4 linked regions of the Oryctolagus cuniculus genome follow. The main gene of each other region encodes a partner of the protein of the gene in region 4 in a complex. Links are inferred from orthologs where the notes say so. Each region holds a gene or a part of one and is shown on either strand. Other genes may lie near its edges.

Region 1 (4,011 bases), on a different chromosome or scaffold from region 4:
TATGACCAAAATGAAAGTATAAATTTCAATAGCAAAAAAAACCCAGAGTGTGTTGTTCTTATTTATATTTATTATTATCTATGGATTTTTATGCTTCCTAATTTTTTTTAAAGTTTATTTACTGTGTTCTATCTCCTTCTCTAGAACAAAGGTGCTTTTCTCTGAAACAAATAAAATCAGGAAGTTAGTGTACAATGAAGAAGATTCCACCTGACCTTTGGTGAAGTGGGGATTCCCAGTTGAAGAGGACAGTGGTTGCTGTGGGGATTAGGGAGGTCTGTTGACATAGCATGCATGTGTCATGAATGAGTACTTGCTAAAGTTTAAGTCCATCTTTTACTTTGAAGCTAATGAAGTCTCATTAACAGATGGACAGTATGTGTTAATTTAATACAAATTGGTATACTGCCATAGTTAAGAGGTTTCTCTTTGCGTTAACTTTTTAAGGATCAATTCTAGAAAAATTAGGGTAGTTTTTACTGTTTAGATTTTCTACTGTTTTCCCCCAAACGTTTGTAAGTGTTAGTCACCCATCAAATAGAAACTGCTCCTCATCTACTGAGAACCTTGCAGTGTTCCCAGACCATGGGATCACTGATTTGTGAGGTGCAGTAAAACTATGTCATATGAAAAGAACCAGACCAGGGGCCAAAGATAACACTGCTATGTAGACTCTGTGGCCAGTGGCGATTTCGTTTTACAAGACGTGTCCGTGTTTGGTCAGCAAAGCTAAGGCAGTGGATTGAATGAAAGAACATGACTTTAAAAGCATTGAGAAGCACGCCAAAGGCAAGCATTTTTCGTGCAAACATTCCAAATGGGGCAAAGCACACAGTCAGCGGAGAGCTGGCCAGAAGTTGCTGCTCCCCCATCTACGGGCGCCGCACAGTAGCTGCTCCAGCATGTGCGCTGCAGAGGACTGCCCGTGCTAGCCTTTGTCCCACCTCCTCGTCCTCTCTCTTGCTTCCATCCTTCCTGCTTTCTGAGCCCCCGTGTGAAAAAAAGACTAATTGCAATCTTTTTCAGCGTGTCTAGAAATCAGTCAAATCTGTAAAGTTTTTGAAAGCTTCATGGATTTCATTTGTAAGTCTGAGGGAGGGGTCTGTTTCAGAGAAGAGAGTGAACCAGCAGAAATGAGTTCCGCTCCCCAAGTCAGCCTTGTTGAGTAGACTCCTCATTGATCAAAGCTTACGAAGCTGTGCACTCATGGGCCCCTCTTTCTAATTTGCAGGTGTTAGGTAGTCTTTCTGAGTACAGTAGCTGTGTGTACATCAATGTGGTCACCATTCCAAAAGCCTGAACTAGACAAAAAGTACAGGAAATCAAATATTACTCCTGAGTTTGGCCCCCTTACAAGTATTCACGCTAAATGTATGACTAGTCGCTCCATCCTTACGTTGAGATCGTCACTCTACTGCTGTGAGATAAACATTAGGAAAGGAATTGGTAAAATTTGGATTATCCTGAAATGCCCAGAAGAGATGTGTGTAGTTTAACACTGCCATGTTTCCCGTGGTTTTCCTAGGAAAGAGAACTTATCCACTTTCCCTGATGGATGCTAAGAAAAACACATTTCTGCCCTGCTGAGGAATTAATTACATATTTTAAAAAATAGAGCATCACCAAATCAGATATCTGGCCCATTTAAATTTTACTCATATAATTATGATTTTGATACACTTATAAACTATGGATATATGCCATCTTTTCAAATTTGCATAAATATTAGCATAGACAGATGCTTGTTAAATGGCTACAAGCTATCATTCAAGAATTAGAGTTGAAAAGTAACTGGGATAAAATACAGAACAAATGATAAATGACTTGAACAAATTGAATAGATTTATTAGAAACATAAATAAAAAATAAATTTATTAGAAACATAAGACATGATTAATCCCCCCAAAACATCCAAACTTAATTAAAGTGCTATGCTAAGAAACAATTTCAAATCAAAATTTTAATGACACCTGATACTGTCTCTAATGACCCTTTACCCACCTCTTAAAATTGACCAGCTTTCTATTTTTTCCACTGAAGAACTTAAAAAATTAGAAAAGATCATTATCGAATATAATTATCTTGCTATCTTGTCTGTGTGTACCAACAAAATTCAGATACAAAATCTAATATAAAAATTTGGATTTCTTTCATCTTTCTCACAGAATGAGAAGGAAAGTAGAAGATTGGTGTTTTGCCATATAAAAGCCATATAATCCTTGCTTGTTGCTTCAAAAATGGTTTAAATGTTTTTAAATTTATTTTTTATTTGAGAGTTGTTTTTTTTTTTTTTTCGAGAATTTCCAAACAATGACATAAATGAGGACATTGGGCTTCTAGGCAAAACTTCACAAATGTGTTGCTGAAAGTCCTGCTTACGTACAAGGAGATGAGTCCTTGGAGTGGGGGAATCACCTTCTTGGTATTTCTAGAATACTTTGAGTAAATTTCACCCTCCTCTTCCCTGTTCCTTACTCCACGGTGGGGATCTTACCTCCAGGAGAGATGTAGAAATGGTTGAGTTGAGCTTCATGCACCACAGTACCTTTACATGTACTCTCCGTTTCAGCAGACAGGTGGCTAGGCAGCGGCTGGTATGCGGGCGTAGCTGGCTGAACAAGGGCTCGAAGCATTGTCAGTTTCCAGTTGTATACAAAACAGGGTGATTTTTAAAGCTAAACAAGTACCCTGCAGGTGATCTTTTCTCCTTGTAACTTTTTAAGACTAAGAAACTATTCCTGTAATGTCATTTCAGTGCCACAAAAGTTTACATGGCCATATGGCATTGCTGCAAATTGAGGTTTTAGTAATACTTTACGTTTTAGAATTCTAAAACCACACTTTCCTTATTGGCTCTTCTCTGCCTTGTCTTTCTCTTCCCTGCTAAGCCTGTGCAGGGATAGGCCTCTCCCCTGGTGACTCTACAGGAAAACTTGGATTGAAAGGAGAAGGTAGTGGTTCCTGTCAGCCTGTCAGCTCATCACCTCCCTACGGCATGCTGAGCTCTGGGTTTTATATATCACCACGAGCTGCTCTGATATGCCCTCTTGTGTGCAAGGGCGATAGGCTTGACCGGGGGCTGGTAGCCCCTGGGCCCAAGGGGCCGAAAACTGCAGCTGGAAGGTGCACTTTGATGGAATTCACTGCCCCTTTCCCAGCGGAATGCAGCTCAAGTTGCAAAACTATTTTAGGGAGGGAAAAAATGAGGCTCAGTTTTGCATTGTATCTTGTTGCCCCCTTTCAGGAGCCAGGACTGCTGGTAAATGTGCTTCATTCCTTGACAATTTAAACTTTTTCAAAGGGACCGTCAACTGGGATAAGAGCAGTTATTTCAAAATGGTCCCATTTTAATTCTAAAACCATGCTATCTGTGAGATAAATGGTTGGGTCCTAAAGCACTCTCCACAGTGTCTTAAATACTTGCTCAAATGCAGCCTCTCGGCCCTGCTTGGCCGTTCGAGGGCTGGAAATTGTGGGTGCTTCCTCCCTGACTGCCATGGAGTCACCTCACGGCAGCGACATGGAGAGACTGCTCTCCCATTTGTGCCAGCAATTTCCTTGTCATCCTCGCCTTAGGAGAACCTTAGGGTAAATGCCACAAATGTGTCACCTCAAAAAAATGCCACCCAAACTGTTTCTACTAACACACTCTGCTGATGAGACACCACTGGCTGGGCTCCTCCCTGCCTTGGGGCCTCCAGTTTCTTAGCTGTGCTGTGGGTTTTTTCCTCCTTGCTACCACCTTTCTCTTCTGATGCTTTTGGAAAACTCGGTCTCCAAGGAAGAAAGTTTGCACTGTAACCAAAAAAAATATTTCAAAAATAAAAAGACACCACACAAACACCGAAAAGCAGAGCAGGCTCCTGGTATTGTAGCTGAGGTTAAAGCCGCCAGCACACAGGTTCACACGGATGCAGAATTCTGAAGTGGTCCAATGTGCACGTCCTACAAGAGCATCCGTGTTAGCGTGTAGGACTCTGCTAGGGAATCGGAGCTGGAAGTGGTGGACAG
Region 2 (3,559 bases), about 10 Mb from region 4:
CAGCTGGGCGGGGCGGTGGGGGGGACACGGGGAGGGGAGAATGTAAGGGCGCCTCCTCCCAGGAGGCAGGGAGCGGCGGGGGCGCTGCGGGAGCTGGTCCCGCCCACCCTGGCCACGCCTCCCGCGGCAGGCGGTGCGGGCTCACCCAGGCTGGAGCGTGTGTTGGAGCGCTCGATGATGATGTGCTTGCTGGGGTTGTTGAGGACTGAGCGCTTAGCCAGGGAGATGTCGGCTGTCACCCGCGTGATGGAGATCCTGGCGGCGGCGCGAGGGGCAGTCGGGCTCAGGGCGGCCAGCACGCCCCGCACACTCCCCAGGCTCCCTCAGTCCCAGGCTCCCCGGGCGCCAGCCCCCAGGGTCTCACCTGCCATCAAACCGATGCTTCAGGAAGTCAAACAAAGCTTTCTGCATCATGTCTGTCACCTGGGGGGGCGGGGCGTCAGGGGGAAGTCAGGCACTCAGAGCCACTCAGGAGCCAGCGCGGCGGAGGGGTGTCTGCACCCCACATTCCACTTCCCTCTGAAACCCCGCAGAGAAAGGGGCCTCTCCAGGGGCGGGGTGGGTTCCCTCCTGGGTCTGAGGGGCCACCAAGACACACTCTGGCTCCCGAGGCCTTCCAGGTGGCCTGTCTGGGAGGGCTCTTCTGGGTATCGCTTGGGGACTTGGGCTTCTCTGAGGGGGTCCTCCACGAGATAGGCCCCTTGAGGGTCTCCCTATAAGGTCTGCAGTCCCCCTGGGGGATGCTTGAGGTGGGGGGGGGGTCTCTCTGAGGTCTGAAGACCTTTCCAGGGAGGCTCTCTGGAGGTCTGGGCTCCAGCGGGCCCACCCCCGCTCCAGGGGCTCCTACCTCATAGCCCTTGAGCGACGGTCCCACCAGGATGATGGGCCTCATGGAAGGCACCACGTCATAGGGGGGCACGTGCTCTGTCTGGGGAAAGCAGGGTGGGGAGACCCCAGGGTGGAGACGGTGTTAGCCCCTCTCCCCCCAACTCCAGGCTCCCCCATGCATCCTTTCCTCCTTCTGGCCCCAAAGCCCAGATGTAGGGGTCAGGCGGGAGGGGGGGCCAGGGAGAACCAGGAAGAGTAGGGAAATGGCAGATGTGGGAACGGGTGTTAGAAGGTTCCCCCCCCGGCTCATCCTGGGGGCAAGGAGGGGACACAGAGAGCTGTGATACTCACCGACTTCTGCTTCTGTTTGGCTGGGTCCAGAGATTGCCAAGAGAGGGGAGGGGGAGGGGACCCAGGCAGGGGCAGAGGGCAAGAAGGAGCCGGGACAAGAGAGCGGGCAGACGAGGAGAGATAACAGGGCATGCGTGTTAGTGACAGACGGAGCCAGAGAGAGGGGACGGGACCCCATGCCACGCGGGAGCCAGAGATGGCGCTGGACCAGGGCTGGGAGCAGGACTGCCAGTCCGGCGGCCTTGGGAACATTCAGACACACCCTAACCCCTCTGGGTCTTGGACAAGACCTGGTGAGGGCGGCAGCCCCTAAATTGGTACCCACCTCCTGCCCCAAGGGTATGCCAACCTGCTTATTTAAGGGCTGCCTTAGTTGTCTTGCCCTGCAGCCAACAGACACCCTCCCCTATGTGCCCACTCATGGGGTCAGAACAGGACGAATAAAGAATGCCAGGGTAGGGCACACACAGGGAGGCTCCACTGGGAGTGAGGGCAAGGGCAGGTGTCACTACCACCAGACCCTGCTTTCCAGGGTGGGGCAGTTCGCCAAGGGCAGGAGCCATCCCTTCCTGGGGAGTAGCCCAGGGAGGGCTGTGTGTGCACGTGGACGTGCCCGTCTACCCCTCCCTCTGCCTCGGCGGGAGGCCCTGGACGAGGCTGTGCCACATCGGAACCCCTTCCACCCACCTCTGCCCCCCAGAGCTGGGCCCTGACCCCCTCCCGTCTTGCAAGAACTCAGCAGCGAGAATTACCTTCTTAAAGAAGGGGATGCGTGTGCCGTGGGGTGGCGGGGTGGTGACACTGCTAACGCTAGTCTTGGCAGAGCCGCTCTGCTCACCGAGCTCTGCCTCGTCCTCCTCTAAGTCTAAGGGCTCTAGTTCAAAGGCTAAGTTAGTCATCTCGTTACCTGGACCGGCGAGTCAGGAGAGAGGGGGGAGGGAGGCGAGGTGGGGAGGAGGGAGGTGGACGTGGAGACACAGAACGCAGGGATGGGGATGGGGAGAAGAAAGAAGAAGAGGTGAATGGAGTGGGGCTGGGGGAAATGGATGGGGGGTGGGGTGCAGGGAGGGCAGGCAGAGATGGAGCTACCAAAGACAGGGGGGAGCAGAGACACACAGGCCCAGCTTGTGGGGAGCCCACTCTTCACGGAGGGGGTGCCACTACACGTGTCTGGGGAACTAGGGTAGGGCTGACTCCTACTGCAGGGAGAGGGGGGTCAGGCGGTGGGAAGACCAACCCATCCAGGAACCCCTCCTCACCCCCTGGGGTCGCAGCAGCTCTTACCACTGGCAGGGGGTGTGGGGCGGCGCGTGCCAGTCACTACGTCACCCAGACTGGAGCTGGAGTTGTCGCCTGATTTGCTGTGTGGGCAGAGGCAAACGGAGCCCGTGAGCGAAGGGGTGGGCATGGGGGTTGGGGGGAGCTCGGCCTCCCACATACTGCTGGGGGGAGGGGCGCTCTGTGCCCTCAGGGGCGGGGGCAGCCCATCCCTTCGGGCCTAGCCCTGGCAGGCTGGGCCCTGCTGGGGCCAGGCGCGCCCACGCCCACCAGGCACCTGGAGCTGAGGCGGCTCTGACGCAGCTTCTGTTCCTGCAGCAGGCGCAGGCTGTCCAGTTTGACGGGGCTGGGGATGAAGCCAACCTCGCAGCCCTCCTTCACCAGCCGCCCAATCCACCAGTCATTGTTGTATTTCTGCAGGCAGCACAGTGGGCGGGCAGGAGAGAGCAAACAGAAACTGGAGGTGCAGGCAGCAGCCCCCCTCCCAGGGAAGCCACCCCAGACGTGCCCACCCCAGTTTCCAAGTGTGGCCGCCCATTCTCAGGATGATTCCGGGACCAGCATCCTCTCTGGCCATGGACTGCCTCTCCCTTAGCGCAGCCCCTAGGTGTTACCACCTCATTTACCAAGGAAAACTTAGAGGCTCAGAGAGGTGAGAGATTTATTTATCAAAAGTCACACAGCAGACTCTGCCCTGCTCTGCTTGGCTGAGAGGCCCTTCCCCCTGGAGCTCTAGCTGCCCCCTACCCATCCGCCCTCCTGATGCCAGTGACCTCCCCACCTCCTTGATGTGCAGGAAGTCCTTGGGCTCAAAGGTGATGGCCACTCCCTCCACAGGCACCTCATCCCCTGGAGATGGATTGTAGCCGACATTTGTCCGCACGGCAAATGCTACTGGCTTGGTCTGGAGGAGGCATGCGGGGAAGAATGGAACCAGGGGTTAAACCACGCGGGAATGGGATCACGCAGCGGTCTGCCTCGGCAAAGTGCACGCTGAGTGGGCTGTGCGTTTTTCCGTACAAAGGTGAATTTTTACAGCACAAAAGGAAGCAAAACTGGCATTCTGTCCTCTCGGTGTGGGGGAGGGCCCTGGGGGATGACA
Region 3 (4,299 bases), on a different chromosome or scaffold from region 4:
GAGAAGAACAAGCACTGCATTCACGCTAACTTAATGCCTTACAGTAAAACACGGCATCAAAGGCAGCTGACGCCCATTGTAGCAATTCTGCATGTATAAGTCAGTATACAAAATGGTTAACATCTTTGTGGTTACAAAGTAACACGGCCGCCTGGCAAACTTGTTCTAGCGACTTCCACAGGAGTCAAATTTGTGGAAATGTGATGCACCCAAGAATATAAAAATGTGCTTTATGAGGACGAGGCGAGAGCATTATTCTAAGTCCAACAGTTTTGCTGTGGTCACTACGCGTTCTTCAAGAGTTCGGGACCTGAAGGGAGTGATGTCTTCGTCCACCACGTGATACCAAGATTTAGGATTTCCAATCCTATAGGAAAAGTCAAATTCGCGAGCGACCGAGCGCTAACTGACACAGATGAACACAATCAATCATTAAGGGTGTGGTCGCTCCAGCCCTGGTTAAAAAGTTCAACTGGGGGTTCTGGTGGGATCCCAGCTCATCCGTCCTCGCCGTCCGTCTGGCTCCTCGCTCCTGACATCGCCCAGCGCCCTCAGCCGCCCCCTGTACTGCAAAGACCCTAGCTCGCTGGGCCGCCCCAGGCCCCGACGGGTGGGACACCTCACAGGTCAGAGCCCAGCCCTCTCCGCTGAAGTTGGGGACCTGTTCGCGCCCGCCCCGCGTCTCTTGGAGCTCCGGGGCAGCCGGGGTGGAGCGACCGGAACCGAACGGGGCAGCCCGAGAGACGCACCTCCCGGGCGCCGGGCCTGGCTTTCGTGGCTTTGAGAACTTTCCAGCGTGCGTGCCACGGCGACGCGCAGCGGCCCGGCCGGGGCCCACGCGGCCCGCGCCTCCCGCGAGGAACTTTTCGGCGCGGCGGCTGGTTGTCACTCCCGCTCGCCGACGCGCCTCCCCCTGGCTCGCGCTCCGCCAGCTGCCTCCGCCCTCCCGGCGAGGACCTTCCCCGGCGCCCGCGGCTCGGGGCTGCCCGCTCTGCGCTCGCTCCGCCGGCCCCGGCGCGCCGCCCAGGGAGCCCCTCTCCTCCGGCCACCCAGCCGCGCGCCCGCGCCTCCCGCCTCGCGCCATGGCCCGGCCCCGTCCCGCGCACTGAGAGCGGGGCGGCGCGGCGCCGAGCCCCCGGGGCGCTAAGGGACGCTGCGCCGAGCGGCCGGGCCCGAGCCCCGGGCGGCCCCCGGAGCGCAGCGGAGTAGGGGCGGGGGCGAGGAGGAGGTGGGGACCGGCCGCCCAGGGGCCGGCTGCGTGCTTCCAGCCGACTTTTCGCCAATGGTCCAAAGCGACATGTCCAAGTCGCCTCCCACAGCGGCGGCGGCGGTGGCGCAGGAGGTGCAGATGGAACTGCTGGAGAACGCGGCTCCCGCGGGGGCGCTCGGAGCCGCCGCACAGGTAGCGAGAGCGCGGCGCCCTCTCCTTTCTTTGTGAGCCGCCGGGGCGCGGGCCGCCGTCTCCCCGGCGCCTCCTCTCCCTCGCTCGCCGGCCTCGCAGCTCGCTCGTGCCTGCGTCTCCTCCTCCGCCGCCTCCTCCTCCTCTTCTGCTCGCCGTTCGCCACCCACTTCTCTCCCGGCGCCGGGGACCCTGCCCCTTGGCGCTTCCCCCTGACTCTTCTCCGGCTTCCATTTTTCTCTGCTTCCGAAAAGCAAGTGGGAAGGGGCGGGGGCGACCTGCCGGGCTCGCAGCTTCTCCCGGGCGGCTCTGCTCAGCTCTCGTCGCTCCTGCCCGGGAGAGGCACATGGAGAGACATGAACCAGGCGAGTGGACTGGACCTGCTCAAGATCGTGAGTCCGGGCGGGCGGGCGGGTGGGGGCTCCGCTTCCCGCAGCTCTTCCTCCGACGCCGACCCTTCCGGCCCGGCTTGGAGCCGGGCTGGGGTGGGGGTGGGGTGGTGATGGCTAGGGGTGGGGGAGGGGGACGCCCTGCTGCGCCCCGCGTCCTGGGGGCAGCCGGGACCACCCTCCGCACCTGGGGCGTTGCGCCTTTCTGACCGCTCTCTGATGCCCTCGAGGCACTTGCCAAGGTTCGCCTGCATCCCTCGCTCCTTTCCCTTCCCGAGAGAGCGAGCTGACACGAGAAAGTTTTTATTTTTCCGTTTGCCCTGAAAGACTAGCCCTTTCAGAGCGCTCCGGGATCCTCTTTCTCGCCGGCGAGTGTTCGCGGTTTCTGGAAAAATTCACCTTTGCTGCCTGTTGTGAAATAGGAGATGTTAGTTGTAGGCCTCGGGCAGATGATAAGGTGGCGTTGACGTAAGGCGTTGGCAGGTGCGGCGCGGATTAGACACCTCCGGGTCTCCGCGGTAAGGAGTTGCTCAACTTGTATCCTGGCGGGGAAATGACTTCAGCCTCCTCGCTGCGGGCTAGGAAGGAGGGGAGGGTTCCGCTCCTAGCATCACTGGAGAGAACTCTGTCTTCTTTGCTTCGTGGTGTGGGCTTGATTTGGAGCCTACATCTGCCAGATGACAGGCCGTGGTAAGATGTGAAGTGTGTGTGTGTTTTATTCGAGTGTGTGTGTGTGTGTATGCATGCCAGAGAGAGCATGCTACAGTTTTCACTTGGTAGTGCTGAGCAGGGCAGGGACAGTCCCCCGAGGGTGGCAGGGTTTCTCCTGCTTCGTGCAGAGGGGCTGGTTGTAGGGGTTTGAGTACTATGCTAGTGGTACTTCCAGGGGCGTTCTAGTGGAGTTTGGCTGAACTTTATTTTACCGCTGGGAAATAAACGCGCTAACTTAAAACACAGCGTTGACTTTGTTTTTTGAGCTGGGGGAAGAACGTAGAAACCAAGAACTCTTTCTCTGGCCGTGGTGAAACCGGCCCTCGGTTGTTTGCCCTCCAGTGGATCGGAGACAGGGCACTCACCAGTGACTGGTTTTATACATAGAGCAGAGAGAGGAGAATGGCGTGGATTTTATAAAGTGGATGAGGCAGAAATAGTCAGCTGAATCAACATCTATCTCCTTGCTTTCTCTGCTTTCCAAAAATGAAAGCAGTTTTCCCTGAATTGTTCAGATAAAATGCCTCCCTCCCAGTCATGGATGTCAACTCCCAGCGTTTCAGGGTTGTGTGAAACTTGGCAGGTAGCCTCTGCCGGAGGATGGACTCCTGACCAACACAATTCACTCTTGTTCCAACTCCAATTTCATCCAGACACATGTCAGGTTCCATGAGATTGAAAAATGTATTAGAGACCTTGGTGGTTCCAGGATCAAAGTCTAGAGTATTCATAGACGAAAGGACTTTTAAAGCCTCGTTTTCTCTTTGATCTTACTTGAAGAATTTTTTTTTTTTGAAAAGTATGTATTCCTATGATAAAGAGTTCTTGAATTCTCTGATCAGTTAGGGCTGATGCAAAGGGTAAGAAATACTAATTTACTTAGTGATTTACATAATTAACATAAGTCAACAAATACTGTGCCCATGTGATGGTGCAATGTGGAAATGACTTTGATGTGAGAAGGCAGTTTATTCCTTTGAAGAACTTAGATTCCAAAGCTGCAAGTATGAAGCCGGTAAAGCAATTCTAAGGTATTGGATGGGACTAGGAGGGAAGGGCTGAATATCATGATTGCAAAGGAGTCAAGGTCACAAAAAACACTCTTTAGAGCAATCTGCCAGGGCTTCTTAGAGGTGGCACTTGAAGAGATTGAATGGTGGGTCAGATTTCAACAGTTTGGAGAGAGATGCTAGGAAGCCATACATGGAACAGACACAGAAGTTGGAATTGTGCAGTTAGAATCCCTGGCTCAGAAGAGTGGGAGAAAAGGTACATGCTGGGTTGTAGTTGGACATCAGGAGGGCAAAGCACTTGGACGTTGAAGTGTACTGAACAACTGGGAACTGAAGGTGTTCCAAACAGGAGCCACCACTAGCACAGGGACAACACCCACCTGGGAATGTTCAAGACAGATGGGAGTCTGTGGAGGTCAGAAGTGGAGCTGTCAGCAAGGACAGGAGTACAACAGTTTGGCAAGAACAGGTCCGTGCCCCAGGCATCTTAAATCAGCCCGTAGGATGGAGTGACTGGTTTTACACATACAGCAGAGAGAGAGAGAGAGGAGAATGGCATGGGATTCGTGAAGCAGGTAAGGGAGAAATGTTCAACTGTATGGACATCTATCTCGTTGCTTTCTCTGCTTTCTAAAAATGAAAGCAGTTTTCCTTGAGTTGTGTTCAGATGACATCCGTGATTGGAGGAAGCATTCTAACTTCTAGTGTCTCAGGGTTGTGTGGAACTTGGCAAGACCATCTACTGTCTCTGAGTAGACCAGGGCAGCCATAATATCTCCTGAGAAGG
Region 4 (4,343 bases):
TAAGGCAGGGGTGAGAGCTTAGGACCTCAGGTCTCTCCTGAGCCTGTTGGCAGCACCGTGCATGCACAAGGCCTTCGAGGTGCCCAGGAATATGTTGGAACTTTCCAAAGCTGCCAACGGACATCATATCCTCCAGCGTTTGGGCTATCCCATTATTAGCACCAACTGTTTTGTGCTGTCTCAAGAAGCCATGATGTTACACAGTTGGCTCCAGTTGTTTTCAACAAATGCTCCCTGGGAGAAAGATTGGTGGCACTGGAGAGCTCAGAGCCAGGTCAGATAGAGGCGATTTGTAAGTGGGGACTTGCAGGGAGCCACAGGACAGGTCGCACAATGACCGCTCTGAAAACAGAGCCGTAAAAGAAAGCTGGCCATTTGTCCCCCTCAGTGGCTGTTGGGCTGCTATGTTGGTGATGACTGTGAGATGTTGAAGCCACGGCAGACCTGGGGAGGGTGCGTGGGAATGGGCAAGTCTCTGTTCCTCCTGAGCTTCCCTTGTTTTTCTGGAATTCTGTGAGATTTGGTTAATGTCCAGTGTCCTGTCAATTTTTGCCAGAATCCTCATGGCTTTTATGGGGAAGATTTGGGGGCAGGCATGCCTTACTCTGTCCTATTTTTCTGACGTCATTTCAAGTGAATTTAGGAAAAGCATTCACAACAATACATGCACACAGTGCTACGTTTGCGTGCCTTTGTTGTTGCTTTGGTTAATAACAAATAAATGAGAGATGTATGAACTCGCTCCAGAAAACGGTGGTCCCGAGGAGATTAAGGAAGGTAAAGGTACATTGGGAAGGAAGCAGACATCTGTTTGCAAAAGAGGAAAAAGGCCGGGGGGACATGCTTGGGAGGATTATTGGAGGGAAGGCAGTGCTGAGTGCCGCAAGTGCATGATTCACGCCTGGGGCGGGGGCGGCGTGGAGAGGCCAAAGAGATGGACGCTGCTCAGGCTCAAGGCCAAGTGTCGGTCCCCTGGGGCTGGCCTGGTCACCTCTGGCCAGTCTGTCTCTTCCTTGTGTGGACTCTGCCCGCTGCCCTGCTCATCGGCTCTGACTTTAAAAGGCAGATGGCTCCAAGGACAGCAGCTAGGACCATGACAGTGTCCCTGGAGGAGCCGCCTCGCCCTGCCCCGCCCTGCCCTGCCCAAGGGAGTTGGCTGGAGGAGGCGTGTGTTTACGGGCGTGCTCAGCGGTGGCCGAGGGCATGAGCATCTGCGCTATGCGATAGCCCATGAGCACATGCCCACGCCTGTCAAAGCTCCCAGCCCTGGACTCAGCGTTTCCAAGACAGCTGAGGATTTACGAGTCCTCTGCACGCCCCCCGGGGGCACGCGGGGCAGGGGATCCCTGGAGCAAGTGGCAGGGGGAGGAAAGGGCGGCATGGGGCTAGGGGCTGGGCAGACTGCAAGACCTCTGGGGGCTCAGCGCCACCCGCCTTAAAGGACGCCCTTTCTGAACACGCATGTCAGGTGGGACGGTGTCACTCACAGCCTGGCCGGCTGCCGCCTTGGAGGGACCTTGGTGAGCTCTGGGAGGGATCGTGTGTGGCTGAGACCAAGTCTCCTGTTTTATAGAAGAGGCAGCAGGAGGAGCTGAGCTGGGCTTTGTCTGCCCAGAAGCCTCCTCTAGGGAGCAGGCGGCTAGCGCGTGACTGGGGCCCAGGCCTCCGCTCCCCGCACAGCACCCGCTGCCCTGGCACACGCTCTGCTCACTGGAACTCCGTGGGCCCCACACGTGCAGAACCGACACTCTTCCCAGGGATCTGTCTTGCTCACGCCCCACGTCCTGGACCGAGGGCTCACCTGCAGCGTGTGGCTGGGTGACACTGTGGGACAGGGGACACTTTGGAATCTGAGAGAGCTGAGTTCAGGGGGCCCCTCCGGGAGGTCTGTGGGCTCCCACGAGCAGGCAGCCGGCTTGCATGCTGCCACATCCCACTTTCCAGGGGTGCAGCCTGCACAGTCACACCCACCCCAGAAGCGCCCCACACCCTGCGGCCGCCTACCTGAAACGCTTTGTCGCCGGAAACTAGGAGCCCTGCCTTTTCATTCTGCAGGAGGCACTGCAGACCCTGGAGCTGGCCCTGTTTGCACCCTTGCCTGGGCACTGAGCAATGAACCTGCCGGGCTGGGGGCACACGGCCACCCAGCCTGGGGACATGGGCTGTGACCCCTGCTGAGCCAGAGGCCCTGGTCTGGTGGACCTGCGTCTTCGTCCTGGGCCTCTTGTCCCATCTGTGCAGCTGTCTGCTCTGGGCGCATGGCCCCATGTTCTAATAGCTGGAAACGTAAGCCCTCCGTACATGGCCGTGCCATGCGCAGCTCTGTCTGCCCTGGGCAGGGAGGGCTGGGGTGCTGCTTGGACCCGAGGCAGAGAAACCTGCCTTTTTTCCCACGGGCACCTCTTCCGGGGCACCTGCGACAGGCAGGAGGCAGAGAGGGGACAGGGCATGGATACGTTACCCCCAGGCAGGGTGATGGGTCCGCAGCTCCTGTCCTCGCCCAGGGCGATGCGCTTGGTGCAAATCCGCCACAGGCCGAAGTGGGCGGCCTCGCAGGTGGTGTTGTGGTTCTCCATGTGGGGGCTCAGCACGGCCCAGTGGTCGCTCACCACGGCCGTCATGGCCAGCACGATGCCCACCAGGATGCAGAAGAGGGTCACGCGGACCTTTGGGGCTTCCGTCGGGGACATGGCGGCTGCAGAGGGGTGGGTGCTGCAGGTAGGGTCTGGCGGCGGCGCCTGCCCGTGCAGGTGGCGGCCCGGCTAGGGTGGTGGCCGTGGCTCCGGAGCTGGGGGTGGAAGCTAAGTTTAGTGTGCCCGGCTGAGCCAGAGTGGGCCGGCCTTGGGGCTGGGAGACGCGGGCTGGGGCTGAGCAGCTGCCAGACACGTCAGGGGCCTGAGCGAGGCTTCTATTAATGCCTCCAGCAGGGCCCAGGACGGCGTCTGCTCGGGTTTCAGCGCTTTCTTCCCCTCTTGGAGCCAGGGTGGGGCAGGAGGAGGCTTTACAGAGTGACTTGGAGTGGACGGGGGCGAGGGATGGGCCACCTCGTGTCGGGTGATGCACCTGCTCTGGCTGCAGAGGTCCTGCTAAGCCAGCACAGGGCCCCCGGGGAGGCCCTGCTGCTTCCTGGTCTCACACTGGGCAAGCCAGCTGCCAAGATGGGGTCCTCATCCCGGGGAGTCAGGGGACCCAGGGTCTTGCCTAGGGACAGCCCAGGGCCCTCTGCCCAGGGCCTCTGGAGCCCCCTCCCACGCAGTGCCTGAGCCCGCACAGGAGCCCAGCCCCACCGCCCAGGCCTGGGAATCTGCATGCATGTTCCTCAGCCAACTGTGACCTCACTATGAGAACACCTCTACCTCCTCACTTCTCTTCCTGTTCCTGTCCCTGTTCAGGGCTAGGGAACGTGTGCTGGAACAACCGCCCTTAGAGACAGAGAGAGGCCCGGAGAATACAGCTGGACTCAGCGGCACCACTGTTTCTATGGAACTGCTCTGAGCGCCGCCTCCTCTTCCAGGCAGGTCATAAAGATTCCTGGCTGTATTTTCACTTACAAAGTTAAATGCAGGCCGGCGCCACGGCTCACTAGGCTAATCTTCCGCCTGCGGCGCCGGCACCCCCGGTTCTAGTCCCGGTTGGGGCACCGGATTCTGTCCTGGTTTCAGCTCTTCCAGCAGACAGTGCGGCCCAGACAGTGGGGTGGTGTGATGTGCCAGCTCCCAGTGGGATGGCGTTTGGAGGCGGGCCTTTGGGGGGTGGTCTGGTAAGAGTGGTGGCTTGGGGCCCTGATGAGAGCCCAGAGAGCTCACTTGCTTCCTCTCTGCCATCTGCAAGCCAGGAAGAGAGCCCTCACCAGAACCTGACTGTGCTGGCTCCCGGCTTCCAGAACAGCACTTGGCTGTGGTGCCCTGGGCTGGCGGCATGGCGGGCGGTGGATCCAGGATGGCTGCGTCAGCATGTTCTTCACAGACCACTGGTGGATGGGTTTGCTCTGAGCTTCGGAGGCTGAGGTCACTGAGGCTGTGAGGCACTCACTCTAGGTCCTCCCAGAACCTTCACAGATGCTTATTGAGAGGTTTGATGGATGGACAGACGGACTGAAGGCGGAGGGCAGCTGGGGCTTGAATACTTTACTTTCCCAGGGACCTGCGAAACGGCAGGTGTTTGGCCTCGTGGTTAGGACACACTGGAGCGTGTGGTTTGGAGTGTCAGCCCCACTCCTGGCTCCAGATTCCTGGTGAAGTGCACCCTGGGAGGCGACAGGAGCTGGCTCAAGTAGTTGGGTCCCCGCCACCCATGTGGGAGACCTTACTCCTGGTTTCAGCCTGGCCCCACGCCAGTAGCTG

What was found.
Region 1: CACNG1 (region 4) and CACNA1C share a complex: the UniProt entries of both Homo sapiens proteins name them as parts of the calcium channel complex. The link is inferred for Oryctolagus cuniculus from reciprocal best matches to the Homo sapiens genes CACNG1 and CACNA1C.
Region 2: CACNG1 (region 4) and CACNB1 share a complex: the UniProt entries of both Homo sapiens proteins name them as parts of the calcium channel complex. The link is inferred for Oryctolagus cuniculus from reciprocal best matches to the Homo sapiens genes CACNG1 and CACNB1.
Region 3: CACNG1 (region 4) and CACNB2 share a complex: the UniProt entries of both Homo sapiens proteins name them as parts of the calcium channel complex. The link is inferred for Oryctolagus cuniculus from reciprocal best matches to the Homo sapiens genes CACNG1 and CACNB2.

What each region holds. Positions count from the first base shown.
Region 1 is NC_091440.1:99,765,075-99,769,085, reverse strand, and holds the start of CACNA1C (voltage-dependent L-type calcium channel subunit alpha-1C), read right to left. Parts: upstream 2,825-4,011; 5' UTR 2,634-2,824; coding exon 2,495-2,633; intron 1-2,494. UniProt on the Homo sapiens protein: Pore-forming, alpha-1C subunit of the voltage-gated calcium channel that gives rise to L-type calcium currents. Mediates influx of calcium ions into the cytoplasm, and thereby triggers calcium release from the sarcoplasm.
Region 2 is NC_091448.1:23,122,547-23,126,105, reverse strand, and holds part of CACNB1 (voltage-dependent L-type calcium channel subunit beta-1), read right to left. Parts: intron 3,362-3,559; coding exon 3,239-3,361; intron 2,872-3,238; coding exon 2,735-2,871; intron 2,541-2,734; coding exon 2,464-2,540; intron 2,087-2,463; coding exon 1,932-2,086; intron 1,200-1,931; coding exon of another isoform or gene 1,180-1,199; intron 929-1,179; coding exon 848-928; intron 424-847; coding exon 365-423; intron 256-364; coding exon 146-255; intron 4-145; coding exon 1-3. UniProt on the Homo sapiens protein: Regulatory subunit of L-type calcium channels. Regulates the activity of L-type calcium channels that contain CACNA1A as pore-forming subunit.
Region 3 is NC_091444.1:44,290,138-44,294,436, forward strand, and holds the start of CACNB2 (voltage-dependent L-type calcium channel subunit beta-2), read left to right. Parts: upstream 1-1,490; 5' UTR 1,491-1,755; coding exon 1,756-1,791; intron 1,792-4,299. UniProt on the Homo sapiens protein: Beta subunit of voltage-dependent calcium channels which contributes to the function of the calcium channel by increasing peak calcium current. Plays a role in shifting voltage dependencies of activation and inactivation of the channel.
Region 4 is NC_091448.1:13,143,916-13,148,258, reverse strand, and holds the start of CACNG1 (voltage-dependent calcium channel gamma-1 subunit), read right to left. Parts: upstream 2,832-4,343; 5' UTR 2,691-2,831; coding exon 2,462-2,690; intron 1-2,461. UniProt on the Homo sapiens protein: Regulatory subunit of the voltage-gated calcium channel that gives rise to L-type calcium currents in skeletal muscle. Regulates channel inactivation kinetics.